Linked DNA regions of Cricetulus griseus. The protein of the gene in region 2 purifies or fractionates together with the protein of the main gene of each other region. This does not show direct contact. Links are inferred from orthologs where the notes say so. Each region holds a gene or a part of one and is shown on either strand. Other genes may lie near its edges.

Region 1 (3,744 bases), on a different chromosome or scaffold from region 2:
ATAGGAACCTGCTCAGGGTCCCAGCTATGAAGGCCAGGCTCCAGGGCAATTAAGAAAAGGGAGACACAGGGGGCTGGGGTTCTAAGGACCACTAATGGTATGCTTTTCGGTGCGAAATAAAGGTAAAAGTAGGGGACCCAACTTCTCCAGGCTGTTTGCTCCTTCTCACCCTGTGGCTGGCATAGCTAACAGTGGATACCTAGTTCGGTCTCCATCCTACCACAGCCCCCAAACTCCAAAGCTGAGAGGCCAGGGCAGTATCTGGGCCACTTGAGCCCCACGTGACTGTCCTTATTTACTAAAGGAGAGGAGACTTTCCAACTTTTATAGCTAGTTTCTCCCAACCTTCCTTGGCGGGCTTGGACAGAATCCAACTCGGCCACACACCTCAACGCCTATCCGGGTGCGGGGGAAGCGTGATCCCCACTTCGCTCTGAATTCCCTTGCTGACCCGGAAATAAGTGTGTCTCATTTTCTGCAGCATGTCTGTTCACTATAAGCATAAACAGTCTCCATGGGTCCTCCACCAGAGGGTGGAGGCGGGAGATAGAATATGAAAGGGAACCCCAAAGAATGTCCGAGTTTCCCCTTGTCCCTTCCCTGATTTTATTTCCCTCCTCTCCTCCAGAAGGGGGATGCACACACACCCTGGGAATTCTACCAACACTTCCGCGCAGGAGGGAACGAAAGGTGGACACAGAACAACTTCTTACCTAGTTCGCAGAGTCGACTAAGGTGATGGGGGTTGCAGCACACCAGCTCGGGGTTGATCTTCCCGTAAGATTCACAGCAACACAGCCTCTTGACTTCCGAGGAATGCCTGAGATCCGGCCACCTGAACACTTTGCACAGCAGGAGGGGGAGCGAGTAGGACGAGGGCGGCTGCGCGGGCTGCGCGCTGGCGGGCGCCCCCGGGCCCAGCCTGCAGTCCAGGCGGCCGGGCAGCAGTAGGCACGCGGTGCGCGTACCGCCGCGGGACTCCACGGCCTGGAGCAGCAGCTCCAACTGCCGCTCCTTGAGTTTCTTGAGCACCGAGTGCGTGAGCGCCTTCAGATCCGCCTCGGCGCCCCCGGCCGCCCCTGCACCCGAGGTTGGGGGATGGGGATGGTGGTGACCTTTGGCACCTCGGACCGCCTTGCCCAGGCAGCAGCCAGCCCTGCCCGCGCCGCCGCCACCAGCCCCATAAGCCCGGCCGTCCGTCGCCCCTTCTCCCCGCAGCTCGCCTCCGCCGCCGCCGCCACCCCCCACGCCCTCCTCCTCGTCCTCGCCGCCTGGCGCACGGCTCCTCCAGAGACGCCGGACGAGCGCAGATCGTTTGGTCCTGAACATGCGGGGCGAGGAGGCGAGGAGAAAAGTCGTTTGCCGGCTAAGGAGCGAACATGACCTCCGCACACCATGAAGAAGTCGGGCGCCGAGTTGTGGCAGCAGGCGCAGGCGACAGCAGCAACAGCAGGGGCCCGGGCAAGAGCGGCGGCGGCCCGATGGGCGCTCCGTGGCATGCGCCAGTCTCCCGGAGGCCGGGGCGCGCGCGGGGCCCGGGGGCGCCCGCCGGGGATCGGGGCCTGCGCTTCGGCTGCCCCACCCGGCGCGGCCCGCGCCCTGCGCGGCTCTCGGGCCCCGGCGCGCCCCGGAGAAACGCGGCCGCCGCTTCCCTGGGGGCGGCCGAGACTGCCCCGGTGGACGCCTCCCCCAAAAGAGGCCCCCCTACAGTAGCTCCCGAGTGTCGGGCTCGCCAGCCTCGGCTTCCTACATGGAAGATCCTCGGGGGCAAAAAAACGAAAGGCGTTAGGCTGTGCTACTGAAGGGAGGAAAAAGCCTCTTTCCCCCTTGCTAAGCAACTTAATTTGGGGGTGGGGAGAAGCAGGCAATTAAAAAAAAAAAAGCAGGCACACGATTTATTTTTTTCTTCTATATCCTTAGTAACCGGATCTCCTCGAATTCTGTGCTCGCGAAGACTAGAGGGAGGGGGCCGAGTAGACTTCACCCCGCGTGAGACGTCTGTAGGGTCTCTCAAAAAAAAAAAAAAAACCCAAAACCAAATATGCAAAGCCCCCAATGAAAAAAAAAAAAAAACACACACAACACCTCCTGGCACCTCGGAGGTCTGGGGGCCACCGGATGGAGCCCGGGTTTAGAAGAGAAAATGTTTACAAAGTAGAACAAGATGTTGGAGGGGTGGGGAAAAAACGTATCCACGAGTTACATCCCCCCCTTTTTTTTCCTTGCAGAACCCTGCGGGTCTTCCTTTCCTTTTCTTCTGCCAAAAAAAAAAATCGTATTTCTTTTAATCCACAGAAGGGTCTGGCTAGGCTGCTTCAATCTTGCGTGTCTGGGTGTTTCAGAGTCTCTGGTCTTTCCTCCTGCGCTCCCGGGGGCCCAGGTCCTCGGCGGGGACTTCCTCGGCTCTGGGGAAGCAGGGACAGAAGATGCTGCGGCGGCGGCTGCGCCCCGGGGGGCTGTCAGCGCAAGGGAGGGCGGCGCGGCGGCGGGCTCCGGCGGGTCGCAAGCTCTCGCCCCCGAGGGCACAAGCAGCAGACTAGTGTGGGGGCCGCCGATGCCCCTTCCCCTGGTCGCCGGTGGCTGCAGAGGCTGCCCGAAGGAGCTACTGGCCCCGAACCGACTGTGGCGGCAGGAGGCCCGGGTGTCCTCTCGCTGCCTCTTCCTCCGAGACTCTCCTCGTCTCGCCCGGGAGCCTCCTCGTCCCCCGTCCGCCCTCTCCTGGCGCTCGAGTCCTTCTGCCGCCGCTGGGGGCTCGCCGCGCCGCACTCAGGGACTCCGGGGCCGAGCGCTCGGCGGCGTGGCGCCGGCCGGCTGGCTGGCTGCGTCTCGGGCAGCTCTCTCCGGCGCGGCGAGCGGACCGAGCGAGGCGCCCGGCTGGCTCTGCTGGCGCAGCTCGGGGACAAGATCCTCTGTGCGCCGATCTGCTAGCGAGTGTCGCCCGGGGCCTCACGCCGTCTAGACACCCTGTCGCTTTAAAAAAAAAAAAAGCGATTGTGTTTCGCAAACAACAGATCGGGTTTCTAAAAGCTATTTCAACCCCCCCCCCCCGTTACCGCCACCCTCTCTTAGGTCTGCAGAGGGGTACGCATGGGTGGAGGGAGGTGGGAGGCCGAGACAGCCCGGGGGTCGACGGAGACCCAGCGGGAGCAGGGGAGAAATCGGAAGAGCTGGGGGCATGGAGCGGGCGAGTTTGGAAAGGAGCGAGTCGGTCGGTGGCCCGATTTAGACCAGCGGAGCTCGCCCCGGCGATTCATTCATTCGATTTGTTTTAAGGCCCTGGCGGCGGATCCCTTGGAAAGGGGAGGAGAACGCTGTCTGTTTCAAAGACATTTACACCGGCCAGGACAGAGGCCCTAGGAAGTGTGCGCTAGAGGGAACAGCCGGGCGGCCGAGGGCGGAGAGGCGGCGCGAATGTGACCTCAGCGGCCGCCGTGCTCCCTCCCGCCCTCTCCCGCTCCGGGCTCGGGTTTCTAGGACTGCCTGGAGAAGTGTGTCTTGTGCACAGCTCTGGAATGCATTTGGCAGGCTGACGAGCAGCGAGGGGCAGCATCCTGGAGGGAGGAGGGGTGCTGCTCGCCTGTGCGCCGCCGGCAGGTTTCCTCCCGGCCGTTTAGACCTCCGGCACCCGCTACTGGGCCTCCCGGCGCGGGAAGGTTACCCAGAGAGCAGACCAGCTTAGAGCTTTCATTCGCACGCGGGGGCCTGTTCCTGGGCCCTGCTTGGCCTCGTGGCTTTCAAGGTGCT
Region 2 (3,644 bases):
GAGGGAGAAGACAGACACTCACTGAAGGAAGAGTCATTCTCTTCATCACTTGGTGTCTCTAGATGTTGCCTCAGCCCTAGGATTCCCTGATTTTCTTTGACACAATTCTGTACATATGAGGGGCCAGCCTGTTGGCTTTTGCGCTTTTTCCTCACAACCCCACTTTTTTCTTGTTCTTGCTGGTTGCCATTCATGTCCTTCTCTTGTTTTGAATCATCACACAGGTGAGAGAATTCATTCCCCACTTTGCTGTTAATCATCTCCACTTCTGCAGGGAAGCTCTTGGTGGCCCCGAGGGGCTGTGGGTGCAGAAGGACCCCCTTCAGACTCTCCTGTGTTGTGGGCGCATCAGGAGGAGTCCCACTCTTCATAGCCACTTTTAGGGTGTAGAGCTCGTTATATTCAGGAGTCCATTGAGACATGGGAAACTTTAAGGAAGGCCTAGGAGACACAAGGCAGACATTGAAAAGACTCAGTACATCTGTGCTACACAAGTGACTAAAGCCTGCAGCAGCCGTAACATGACTAAGCTAAGCCAGCCTCTTGACTTTCTCATCGAACACTCTAGTACCTCTGCTTCTACCCTACTTTCAGAAACACAGTCAACTAGCACATAGTACTGGAACTTACAGTAACCAAAAGGACCTGGCAATATTCCTGCTAGCTTCCACAATATAGCGTATTTGGTCAAAGCCAAACACTTCCTTTAAGTTTACTTCATTAAACTAAAGAAGAGAATTAGAATTCAAAAGACTGCCTTCTGCAGTCAAAGGAAACCAGTCTGCTGAAATCATACAGCACCCCATGTGCACTGCAGTATTAACCACAACAGCCAAAGGATGGATGAAAAAAATGTAGTAGATACATGATAGAATGCCATTCACCCATTAAAAAAAAAAATGAAATCCTTTCATCTGTAATAACCTGGACAGAATTATAAACCATTACCCTGAGTGAAATAAGGCAGGCTGAAAAGCAAGTTCCACAAGACCTTACTCACATGTGGGATTGACAAAACTAATTCACAAAAGCTGAGAGCAGAATGAAGGTTACCAGAGGCTGGAGAATGGAGTGGAGAGGTGAGATAAGGGATGGCTGGTCAACAAGTACTAGTTAGTTATATACAAAGAACAAGTTTTGGTAACAGTGTGTAATAATGTAATTCCAGGTGATACTATATTGCACATTTCAAACACCTGGAGAAGATTTTGAAAGCTATAACCTAGAGAAAGATGTCTGTGAATGCACATTTATTAACCTGACTGCAACATTACACTATGTACAAACTTATCAAAACACAAAGTACTGAAAAATATGTACAATGTTTAAGCTCTTGTGTATCATTTAAAACAAACTTTAGGAAGGCTACAGTCCTCAGGATTTATAGGCAGCCAATGGATGCTGGGGGAGGTGGAGGCATTTATAATCCCTTACTCATATTCCTATTAGAAACACTATTGGAAGTTCACCATCACCACCAACAAAGATGTAAAAACAGAAGAGAGATGACTTGCAAAGAGGAAAGAGGTCAATGGGAGTGGTGTGGAATAAGAAAGACATGAGAGGGGAATTAGAGGTGAATACAATCAATACATGTACATGAATAAAAATGTACCCATAAGGCTAGTAAAAACCTAAAATTTTAATGTAATTTAAATTATAAGAAAAAACACAATAAAGTCATCAAACCACAACACTTTGGAGGCTGAAGCGGGGAGTACTACAATGACGAATGCAAAGCCAGTCACAACAAGACTCTATCTCAAGAGATTCCTCCAGCCCTGCACCCCTCCCCCGACTAAAAAAAAGAATTCCAAAGACATGTGTTGTTGAATACTGCCTTCAGGGCATAACATGGTCATTGCCCTCTTCAACTGTCAGCAGATCTGAGTGCCAGCAGACTGTACAAGATTGGGCCATGAACTTTCCCTCAAAGGAAAGGGTTCATGAGGCCCACCTCTTCCCAAGAGTTTTCAGATAACCACTGTTAAAGCAGAGGTTGTGAGTCACCCCACCAGTGATCTGCGAGCTATTAGCAGTTGCTAAGAGGAGGGGGCTTATAAGGCCACATCTTTCCCCAAGAACTGACAGGAAAGCTGGTGCAGGAAGACAGATTGCTATTGCAGTGTAGTCACTGCAACAGCTCCCCTAAGAAACCCCAGTTAAACATTGGTTCAACCAAGCCACAGCTTAACTGGATGTTTCTATTGTTGATGCTATTTGGGGTGAGTAGACATTTGTTCATTTATCTTCAGAAAAGTTCATGTCTTCCCTTTGATATTAACATGCTAAAATTGTTTAATAAATACTTCCTGTACATTTAGATGGTTTTTACATTAAATAATTAGCTAGTAGAAATACAGCTTCTTTCTCCTATGACTCCATTTATCTAATGAGACCCTAATTCCAACAGAAGTTTGACACAACTAGTAAATTTAGTGTCAGTACAGCAAGCCTAGAGCAAGGACCAAGATTCTGAAGATAACTGTTAAATCAGCAGCACAGCAGAAAATAAAACTTCCCACAACTGGTCTAAGTGTGCTTAGATCATCTCACCTCTGAAACTGAGCTGTTGAACAAAGGAACTTAATTTACTGCATCAACACCAACACAATTTTTAAATTTTTTATTATTCCTTGATGCATGTGTGTGGCACTTGTGCCACGGTGTAAATATGAAGTCCACAAGACAACTTTGTGGAGCTGGTTCTCTTCAGAGATCAAACTTGGGTGCCCCGGCCTGGATGTCAAGCACCTGAGCTTTCTTTCTGGCTCACAGTGTAATTTTGTACATAAAAGAAGGATGACCATGTAAAATTGTGAACATCACTCAAGATGGAACACTCGCTAGAAAAGTAGTTAGTCTGACAAGTGAAGCACTGTGTTAGAGCAGTATGAGAATCTAAGCAGGCGTAAACACGGTTTGTATGCTTTAGAAACAGTCTGGTTTGTATGCTTTAGAAACCAGTACCTTGCTCAGACTGTCTCCAACTGCCAGGATCAAGGGCATCTCCTCCCTCAGCTTCCAAGTTCATCACTTCCATCCATCAACAATTGTGACCACTTCCTAACTTCCAAAATGATAGAACTGTTTCTACACTAACAGACATTTTCAAACCATTTGTTTGTTTGAGACAGGGCTTCTCTGTGTAATTCTGTCTGTCCTGGATCTCCCTCTGTAAACCAGACTAGCCTACAACTCAGAGATCACCCTGTCTCTGCCTCCAACTGCTGGGATTGAAGGTGTGTGCCACCACCAAATAAAACAGGTATTTTATGTCAAGGGTTTCCATAAATAACAGATACGTAAATGCATAATTGCATAGGTTTTGTGCTCTATTTCACAGCTCTATTATCAGAACAGACCTCATGAAAGTAAGATTACAATGACCTTTCCCTAGAGAATGCCATTCAATCCTTTTCTTTCTTTTTTCTGTGTAACAGCCTTGGCTGTCCTGGAACTCACCCTGTAGTGCAGGCTGGCCTCTAGATTCTTTCTTTTCTTATAAGATTCTTACAAGGGCAGGCAATGATGTTTGCAAGCTCAGTCATTAAATCCTACCTAGAGTATAGCACAATGAGTGAAGGGAGGGGGGAGCACAGCAAGCAACAAATTTACAGTTGCTAGTCAGATCAAGACCATTG

The links.
Region 1: the proteins of Rnf111 (region 2) and Smad7 purify together in Homo sapiens (affinity purification with western blotting; 3 studies listed by BioGRID). This does not show direct contact. The link is inferred for Cricetulus griseus from reciprocal best matches to the Homo sapiens genes RNF111 and SMAD7.

What each region holds. Positions count from the first base shown.
Region 1 is NC_048595.1:164,565,495-164,569,238, forward strand, and holds the start of Smad7 (mothers against decapentaplegic homolog 7), read right to left. Parts: upstream 2,662-3,744; 5' UTR 1,330-2,661; coding exon 714-1,329; intron 1-713. UniProt on the Homo sapiens protein: Antagonist of signaling by TGF-beta (transforming growth factor) type 1 receptor superfamily members; has been shown to inhibit TGF-beta (Transforming growth factor) and activin signaling by associating with their receptors thus preventing SMAD2 access.
Region 2 is NC_048597.1:182,022,821-182,026,464, forward strand, and holds part of Rnf111 (E3 ubiquitin-protein ligase Arkadia), read right to left. Parts: intron 442-3,644; 5' UTR 423-441; coding exon 1-422. UniProt on the Homo sapiens protein: E3 ubiquitin-protein ligase. Required for mesoderm patterning during embryonic development. Acts as an enhancer of the transcriptional responses of the SMAD2/SMAD3 effectors, which are activated downstream of BMP.